2 linked regions of the Macaca mulatta genome follow. The protein of the gene in region 1 purifies or fractionates together with the protein of each later gene. This does not show direct contact. Links are inferred from orthologs where the notes say so. Each region holds a gene or a part of one and is shown on either strand. Other genes may lie near its edges. The genes, in order: KLC2 and KIF5A.

What was found.
Region 2: the proteins of KLC2 (region 1) and KIF5A purify together in Homo sapiens (affinity purification with western blotting; 3 studies listed by BioGRID and IntAct, with this or other methods). This does not show direct contact. The link is inferred for Macaca mulatta from reciprocal best matches to the Homo sapiens genes KLC2 and KIF5A.

What each region holds. Positions count from the first base shown.
Region 1 is NC_133419.1:8,156,122-8,160,465, forward strand, and holds the start of KLC2 (kinesin light chain 2), read right to left. Parts: upstream 2,943-4,344; 5' UTR 2,927-2,942; exon of another isoform or gene 2,865-2,926; intron 2,500-2,864; exon of another isoform or gene 2,353-2,499; intron 2,262-2,352; 5' UTR 2,214-2,261; coding exon 1,986-2,213; exon of another isoform or gene 1,939-1,985; intron 1,705-1,938; exon of another isoform or gene 1,583-1,704; intron 230-1,582; exon of another isoform or gene 1-229. UniProt on the Homo sapiens protein: Kinesin is a microtubule-associated force-producing protein that plays a role in organelle transport. The light chain functions in coupling of cargo to the heavy chain or in the modulation of its ATPase activity.
Region 2 is NC_133416.1:64,717,248-64,721,558, forward strand, and holds the start of KIF5A (kinesin heavy chain), read left to right. Parts: upstream 1-1,213; 5' UTR 1,214-1,441; coding exon 1,442-1,570; intron 1,571-4,311. UniProt on the Homo sapiens protein: Microtubule-dependent motor required for slow axonal transport of neurofilament proteins (NFH, NFM and NFL). Can induce formation of neurite-like membrane protrusions in non-neuronal cells in a ZFYVE27-dependent manner.

The sequences.
Region 1 (4,344 bases):
GGCCAACATGGTGAAACCCCATCTCTACTAAAAATACAAAAATTAGCTGGGTGTGGTGGTGTGTGCCTGTAGTCCCAGCTAGTCAAGAGGCTGAGGCAGAAGAATCGCTTGAACCTGGGAGGTGGAAGCTGCAGTGAACGGACACTGCACCACTATACTCCAGCCTGGGTAACACAGTGAGACTCTGTCTCAAATATAAATAAATGAAAATAAAAAATTTTTTCATAGATACGGGGTCTCATGAACTCCTGGATTTAAGCAATCTTCCTACCTGGGCCTCCCAAAGTGCTGGAATTACAGGCGTGAGCCACCACACCTGGCCTCCACCCTTTCCTGGTCCTTCACGGTCCAGGGTCATTTCTGCAGTGGTGTCTCCAGCTAGTCACACCTCCCACTCTGCTCCAGCTTCACTCATGGCCTTGATGCCCATGCCCTCCATGCAGACTGTTCCCCCTCTGTGAGAGTGCATGTGCTCCACCAGGTGTGGGACCCCTGACTGGTCCTCTCTGCCTGTGATGGCCAACTGGCAGAGGAGTGAATGTCCTTGCAGAGGGCCAGGCCGTCTGAGACCCTGTACTTTACAGTTGGTTAGCAAATGCCTAAGTGACAGGTGTTTCCATAACCACTAGCTTAAAAAAAAAAATTCCCCCAACAGCCTGGAAGTATACACAGCAGATGGCATGATCCCTATTTTAAAGAAAAGGAAACCAAGATGATACAACCTCCCCAGGGTTCACGTGCCAGGCAGGGGTTCAGCCAAGCTCTGAGGAGAATAAAACAAGTCTAACTCCTTGCACATCCCAATGGCTCCTGGACATCTCCAATTGCATATCATCCTGGCAGCCTCAACTAAAGGGGGCCAAAACAGAGTTCTGATCCACCCAGGCCCTCTCCTCCCTAATGTGCTTAAATCACAAACCTGGGAGTGATGCTGCCTTCCTCTCTCTCCCTTATTCCACCCTGGGTCTTCCTGGACCTACCTCCAGAACATCCAGAACTGGTCCCTTTTCTCCACCATCATAGCCACCCCTTAATTCCAAGCACCAGCTCTGATTTGAATTCCAGCAGTGGCTTCCTAACCACTCACTGGAGAGTGATTGCATCCTCGACCCACTGAGATTTATTCTCCACATCTCAGCCAGAGAGAGTTTTTAGAAATTCAAGTCAGACTGTGTTGCCTGTCTGCTTAAAGCCCTCCAGAGGCTTTCTGACTTCCTGAGGATAAAACCCACACTAACGAGGCCATGATCTGGCTCTTGGCTTCTCCCCAGGCCTCTTCTGTCCCTCTCTCCCTTCCATGAAGCTCCAGTCACACAGTTCTTCCCCGAGTTCCTCCACCACAACTCCTACCCCAGGACCTTTGCACATGCAACTTCTCCCCTGCCTCCCTTTCCTGGAGACTGGTTCATTTCTTCCCTCAGGTTTCAGTTTGTCATTTCCTCACAGAAATCCTGCCTGACCAGTAGACAAGACTCACTGCTGTGAGCTATCATAAAATCTTGTTCTTTTCTTTGTAGAACTCATCACAATTTGTAACAACCAATTATTTCCGTATGTGTGCTTTTGTCTCTTTTCCAAATAGGGCAGGAATCCTGTCTATTTTGTTGGGTCCTGTATCCACCTAACGGCCTGGCTGGCACTGAAAAACTCATCTGTTAACGAATGAATAGAAGAATAAATCGGTGGGAGGCTGTGTTTCCTTAAGGATTTTCTTTCTGTTCTCATATGCCATCCAGTCTCCCTTAGGTAGAGGGGAGCTGGGAATGGGGCTCTGCGTGGGGGCGAGGGTGATCATGGTCTCTTAGGGCAGGGCTGGGGTCGCCAAAGTGCATTTATTTCTTCAAAAGGTATTTACTGGGGTCCTAACACGGGGCTCCAGGAAACAGAAGATTCCTTGCTCATATTCTTCTCCTAGATTACTGGATTTCTCTGGAAGGCTCGATCCCTCCAGTGACCGCCCACCTCAGTACCCTAGACTGACCTACCTGGGCCTCCCCCAGCCCAAGCTCAATGGCTTCCAGGGAGCGACGCAAGAGGATGCAGCGCTCCTGCGAGCCAGGCTCGGCTTCGCTGGCCTCAGGCGCAACCAGAGGAGCCAGCAGGGCACGATGCTCCCCACGCAGAGTCTCCAGTCCCTGGATGACGGCCTTGGTGCCCAGCACGATCTCATCCTGGCTCAGCTTCTCCTCCCGCGGAAGCACCATCATGGCCATGGTTGTGGCGTCTGTGAGGACGAGGGTGCGGGCAGGCGGGCGCCGGGCCTGGGGCCACACCGCCCCAGATTAGGTAAACACAGGCGGTCCCCGGACGCCTGGTCCCGTGTGCCCAGGTCCCCCAGCCGGCAACCCGTACCTTGCCCACGCTTGGCCTACAGAGGGCGCGCCCGGCTCGTCTTGGCCAGGGAGACGCAATGCGGTGCGGCCGGACCCTGCTTCGGCCCCAGACCACCGGCTTAGGCCGACTTAGGCGGCCCAGTGTCTGGGTTTCCCCGGGGACCCCCTAACCAGGACAGGTATGGGGAACGTGGGGGCTCTCTCCTGTGCAGGAGACCCTGGTCCCTCCGGCGATCCGGGCCCAGCCCCTCGGACAGCCCCATCCCCAACCGGCAGGCCACGCCGCGGAGCCCATCCTCCCGACGGGCCGACCCTGCGGAGGCCATCTCCCTACAGGGGCTGAGACCGCGGCCCTCAGTCCTTCCAGGTTGTGCCCACTACGACCCCTCCCCTGGGCCAGCGCAACGTCCTGCGGCCTCCCCTAAAAAGGCCGCGCCCCTGCCCTGGGCCACCCGGGACCGCGCCCCCTACCAGGGCTGGTCAGATCCTCCCACAGGCCGCGCCCACGACGACCCCCTCCCCTAGGCCGACCTGGAGCCTCCCCCTGCTTTAGGGCCTGATCCCGTCTCCCGGCCCAATCGGCCCGCGCCGACCTGCGCCTGGTGCTCGGGCCAGGCTCCGGCTCCGGCTGCCTCCCGCTTCACCCGGACCCGCAGCCGCGAGCCGGTCCCGCCGCCTCCATCCCGCCGGCCTTCCCAGCAGCCCCCGCGCCGCCTTAAAGGTGAAGCCGCTACCTCGGTGGCGTCGGAGGGGGCGAAACACGCTTCTCACGGCCAGCTCGCTGCCTTAAAGGAGCGCGGGCCGGGCCGGCTCCAGCGGGAGGGGGACGGGGCGGGGCCATCGAGGCGGGGGCGGGGCGAGGACCCGCCCGGGGCGCAGTTTCCAGGGGCCCGCCAGCCCCGAGGGGTGCCCTCGGCCTCAAAATGGCCCGGGTCCTCAGGGTGTGGAGCTGCTCGGGAGATTGAACCCTAAGGTACCTAGTGTGGCGCCATCGAGGACGGCGGGAGAAACTGAGGCGCAGGGAGAAGGTTGGGCTTCCCGGAGTACAGAGCGAGGCATTTGCCACTAATTGAGCGCCTACTGCGTGTTGCGCGCCTTGGTGCCCTGGGTTCATTGACTTAATGCTCACGAAGACCCGAGAAGTGAATGCCGCTGTTACCTGGCTCTCAGATCTGACCCCGGGCTTCGCATCCCGGGGTCACATCTGGTGGGGGACGCACCATCTCTGACAGAGGTGGTTCAGCGCCCTTAGCTCAAGCACATCCGGTGACAGGGAGCTTACTACGTTCGGCTCTGAGACAACTCCAAAGGTTAGCAAAATTTTCCTTGTATAGACCTCGAAGTGCCTTCCTGCAGTGCTCATCCACAGCCCTAGCTCTGTCTTCAGAAAGAAAGCTGCTCCCTTATGTCAGTTAAGGTATTTGGAGACAGCGATGGTGCCCCGCGTGGTCTCATCTCTTCCCCGGGCTGCTCCTGGTCCTTTCGCTCAGTCCTACCGCAGTTTCCTGACCCTTCCCCATCCCAATTTCTCCTTTCTGGGTGTAGTCTAGCTTGTCGGTCCTGCTCAGAAGGTGGTGCTCAGCCCAGGGCCCAGTGATCAGAGACGAGGAATGAACTGCGCAGATCAGAGGGACGGTACCCCCAGGATGCCACCTGTCCACAAAAAAAGCCGCAAACCAGGCTGCCTTTTACACAAGTGAAGACCCTCTATTTTACACATCTCAGTTACATCCAACCAGGTTCTTCTCAAACCTGTTCTCTGCCAATGATTTTTTTTTAAGAGAGGTTCTGGGCCGGGCGCGGTGGCTCAAGCCTGTAATCCCAGCACTTTGGGAGGCCGAGGCGGGCGGATCACAAGGTCAGGAGATCGAGACCACAGTGAAACCCCGTCTCTACTAAAAATACAAAAAATTAGCCGGGCGCGGTGGCGGGCGCCTGTAGTCCCAGCTACTCAGGAGGCTGAGGCAGGAGAATGGCGGGAACCCGGGAGGCGGAGCTTGCAGTGAGCCGA
Region 2 (4,311 bases), on another chromosome or scaffold:
TTTGTCCCATAGTGTCTAAGTGACCTTAACCACTCATGAGACAATTGCTGAGCTGAATTTTCCTTTCCTTCTCCTTGTCCCATCCACCCTGCCCTTCCCCTTTGCCTAGAACCTCAACTCCTGCAGTCCAACTCTCTGTTGGCTAGCAGAGGCCTGTGACGTGGAGAAAAATCAATTTGGCCAGCTTCTTGGTGGTTCTTTCCAGGGGCTGCAGCAGGAGTCTGACCCAAAGGGAGAAAGGACAAGGAATCTCTGGGGTTTGGCATTTCTTTCGTTCTTCTTCCCCCACACCTTTTTTTTCTTTTTTTGGCCAGGGAAGGGGGCTGAAGTATTGGGACTGTATCCTCCAATGGTTACTGAGACGGGAAACACACACTCCCATAGGTACCTGAATTTGCCTGAAACCCAAATGCAGGTGTTTGCCTTAGACTTCAAAGTCTCTCTGGCCTTCCCCATCCCCATCATTGCCCCTCCTTCACTGCTTTCTGACTCCCTTTCTCTTGCAAAAATGTTTCCTACCCATCATCATCCCATCCTCAACCTAGGACACAAAAATAAGTATTGTGTCTGCTTTTGAATTCCCATAACCCAGAATGGGAGTTTATCTTCCCTGAAACTGGGGACCTGCTGTGTACGTTGGGGAGACAGTAGAGTGCACCTTTGGATGTGGAAGGGGAAGGGAGTAGCGAAAACCTCCCATGACACTCCTCCCTGACACCCACCTCCATAGGAGTACAGGCAGCGATCCCCCAGAAAGCTGAGTGGGTTGGGAGTCCAGCTTCCGTGCGTGTGGGGCATGGGATGGGCGTAGGGGGAGAATGAGAAGTGTGATCCCAGTTTGGAGAGAGGCTAGTGACGGGTTGGGGGATGCCCTGGAATAGAGGGAGTGGGAGATCTGTTTGACCCTTTTCGCTACACAGGCGACAGGCCCACCTCGGTCCCCTTATCCCTTCCAGGGGGTGGAGTCTGAGGGAGGGACAAACAGATCGAGGGTATAGGGGTGGGATGCAGTGAGTTGGGTGGGGAAGGGTAGAGGGCAAGGTTATCTCCGAACGTTAGGGATGGGGGAGGAAGCAGAGGAGCAGTGAGGTTCCAGCCTTCGGGGGTCGACGTCGAGCCAGCCTCCCCAGCTGAGGGAGCCCCGCCCCGGCTCCTCCATCGCGGCCCCGCCCAGGCCCGCAGCGCGGCGCTGCAGCGCGAGGGGCGGAGAGGCAGAGCGCCCGAGAGGACCAGACGCCCAGGTCTCCCGCATCCCGCTGCCGCAGGAGAGAGAGAGCGCGCCCCGGCCCTGCTCCCCAGGCTTCGCCCGGGCGCCCTCAACTCTGCCCCCAGAGACTGAGCACCTGTCCTCCGCCTCAGCCTTAGCTGAGAGCCCTCTTCTCTGGAGCACACACCACCCCTGCAGCCCAAGAAGTGTTCCAGCTCCACGCCGGCGACCACCATGGCGGAGACCAACAACGAATGTAGCATCAAGGTGCTCTGCCGATTCCGGCCGCTAAACCAGGCTGAGATTCTGCGGGGAGACAAGTTCATCCCCATTTTCCAAGGGGACGACAGCGTCGTTATTGGGGTGAGTGTCGCCCAGGAGGGAATTCGGGGAGGGGGCGGGTGGCTAAATCTCCCCGCCTCCCGCAGAACCTTAGTCTCTGCGGGTCCCTCTGCGCCCGCTCCCCGCCGCTCATCCTTCATCCTCTTCCCCGCAGCCCCTCCTCTCCCCTGCATCAGGATGGCTGGGTGTGGCCTGACCAGGCCAGCGGCTGAGTCTCTGCAGAGTGGCAGGGGGCTGCTTTCCTACCTTCGGGAGACTCATCTCCCCTTTGCTGCTGTCTGCAGCGTCTCCACCCGTTAGAACCAGTTCCATGTTTTTCTGATGTTTTCCCCTTCTCCACCCTCCCCCCCAACCAAGAGAAAGCGCATCTTCCCTTTGTTATTGGCTCAGATCTCTACCCCCACCTCCCAAGAAGGTAAGTGGGAAGACTTTTGGGTGGACTAGAGGGGAGGTAAGCAGCCCAGGGTCTCTGCAGAGTGTGGATGGAAGTGGGCTCTAAGACCAAACCTTCCATCATTCCCTAAAGTAGTTATAGCCTGGATTTTTGTGTGTGTGTTGGGGGGAACAGGTCTGATGCAGGGTTTACCGGGAAAGAAATCATTGATGCCACACCCAATCTTGGGGGGAGCCTCTAGAATCCTAAGGTCAGGTCTGCCTTTCGTTCCCAGTTACAGTAGGAAGAGGGTTTCAGATTCCCCAACTGACCCCCTGAAAGAAAAATGCCCAAACCCTGAGATCCTAGTAAGTACTTGCTTATTCATCCTTTCTCTTGAGGATCCAAGAGAAAGTAGCCGTCCAGCTCTACCTCATCATGACAGCCCTACCCAAGGAGGATATCTTAAGGGAACTAATATTTACAGTGGGCCTGTTACTCTATGTATATTATTTAACCCCCGACACAGCATTCGAAAGTAGTATCAATATTTCCATTTTACAGATGCAGAAATTGAGGCCCAAAGAACTTGAATAACTTTCTCAAGGTCATGCTATTAATCCATGGATCTGAACCTAAATCTGTGACTGCAAACCTCCCATCTCTTCCTATCACATTGCCTACCCAGGTTTCTGTTCTGCACCTTTATCTGTAATGGCCCAAAGGGAAATTCTAGGCCTTGCCCACTCCCCCCTGAGGTTGGTAGGGACCTCAGGCTGTGTGGGGAGAAAAGACCTGGGGTTGAGTCCTGTAGGACTTGAGGGGTGCTGGGCCAGGAAACGAAAACTAGCTTGAGAAGGGAGGGGCATGTACGAGGGCAGTCAAGGTCAGAGGTGCTTCTTAGGTATCTTTATCCACAGTGCTTGGCACAGAGCACCTGGAAACATGCTTGTTAAAGGAATGAAAGAAAGAAGGGGAGGAAGCCTGGGACTTCTGAGTCAGTGAGAATGGGACTTTGAATAAACATGCCTCGGGGGAGACCTGCTTACTAGTCTCCAAGGGCCCCAGTCTGTCACCACCTTGCACCCTTACCCACACTGTTAACTCAAATGGATGCTTTTGTCTCTCTCTCTCTCTCTCTTTCTCTCTCTCTCTCTCTCTTTCCCTGTCTCTCTCTGTGTGTGTGTGTGTGTGTGTGTGTGTATTTGTCACATGGAGAGGGCCTCTGTTTCTTTTTGCTTCAGGGACCTCTCTGGCCCTGCAGACTGTTCAGTCTGACTGGGCTAAAAACAAAACAAAACAAAACAACCACCAAACAACTCCTGGATCAACTCGGGAGGACCCCTCTCAGAGTGTCCTAGAGAGCCAGCATTAGTTGTGAGAGTTGGAGCTTAAGATCCCCTTGAGACATAAAGGCTGACAAACAGGGTGGGGGTGATGATGGGGGGCAAAACTTTTAGGCCCTATTTCCATGCTCTGGAAGGTTTTTCCAGTAAGTCTGAACCAACTCCTTTAGGCTCTCTGGGCCATCCTGGTGTAGTGGGATGGGGCAGGGGGTGATGTTGGGAAGAGGGGTGTGGTGTCGATCTATTGTTAGCCCAGCTAAACAGGAGAGACACACAGTGGGAGGTGGGCAAGGAGGAGAGATGAAAAGAAGCCCAAGGCCCCCTGCCAATTCAGATTCCATCTCAGCTCCACTGCTGGATCTTCCTTGTCTGTTTTGCCTGGTATCTGTAGGGCTGTATCTTTGTCTCGTTCGCTTGTATCTTCCCTCACCCTAGCCCTCCCTGTCAGTCTCTCATTTGAAGATAAATGCTTATGGGGGGCCATTTTGTCTCAGGCAACATCTTTAGAGTTTGCTTTTTCAGACTTAATATTCATTCATCATTTAGGGAATGAGGGCTACAGGGGGCATGATTTTTAGGAGACCCTTGAGGGTCCCAATAAGGGAAGGAAACTCCTACTCCTTTTTCTCTTTTCTCCTCTAGCTCTCTTTGGAGCCCACCGGGTTGGGAGCTGGCTTAGGAATTAATGGAGGAGGCTGCTTCAGGATGTCTGGGAAGGTTGGGGAAGAGTGAAGGTGGGAGAGATAATCTTTCCCAGTGCAGCCCCTACTCCTTCCTGTGACTGCTCTCCCCTTCGCCTCTGCAGCACTGCGGCTAGCGCTGAGCTTCAGAGTCCCTTCTGTTCATGGGCTTTGTTCTGCTTGTTAGAGGGTAGGAGAATAAGCTGGAGAGACAGCTCTGTGTGCCTTTTTTCTCCCCTACTCCTCTGACTTCTTCCAGGAACCTGGGGGATGGGGCTTAGCCAAAGTAAATGGCCTGAGTCATAGTAGAAGGGTGTCTGGGTCACTATGTGTGGTGCCCATCTTGTTTTGCTTTTGCACACT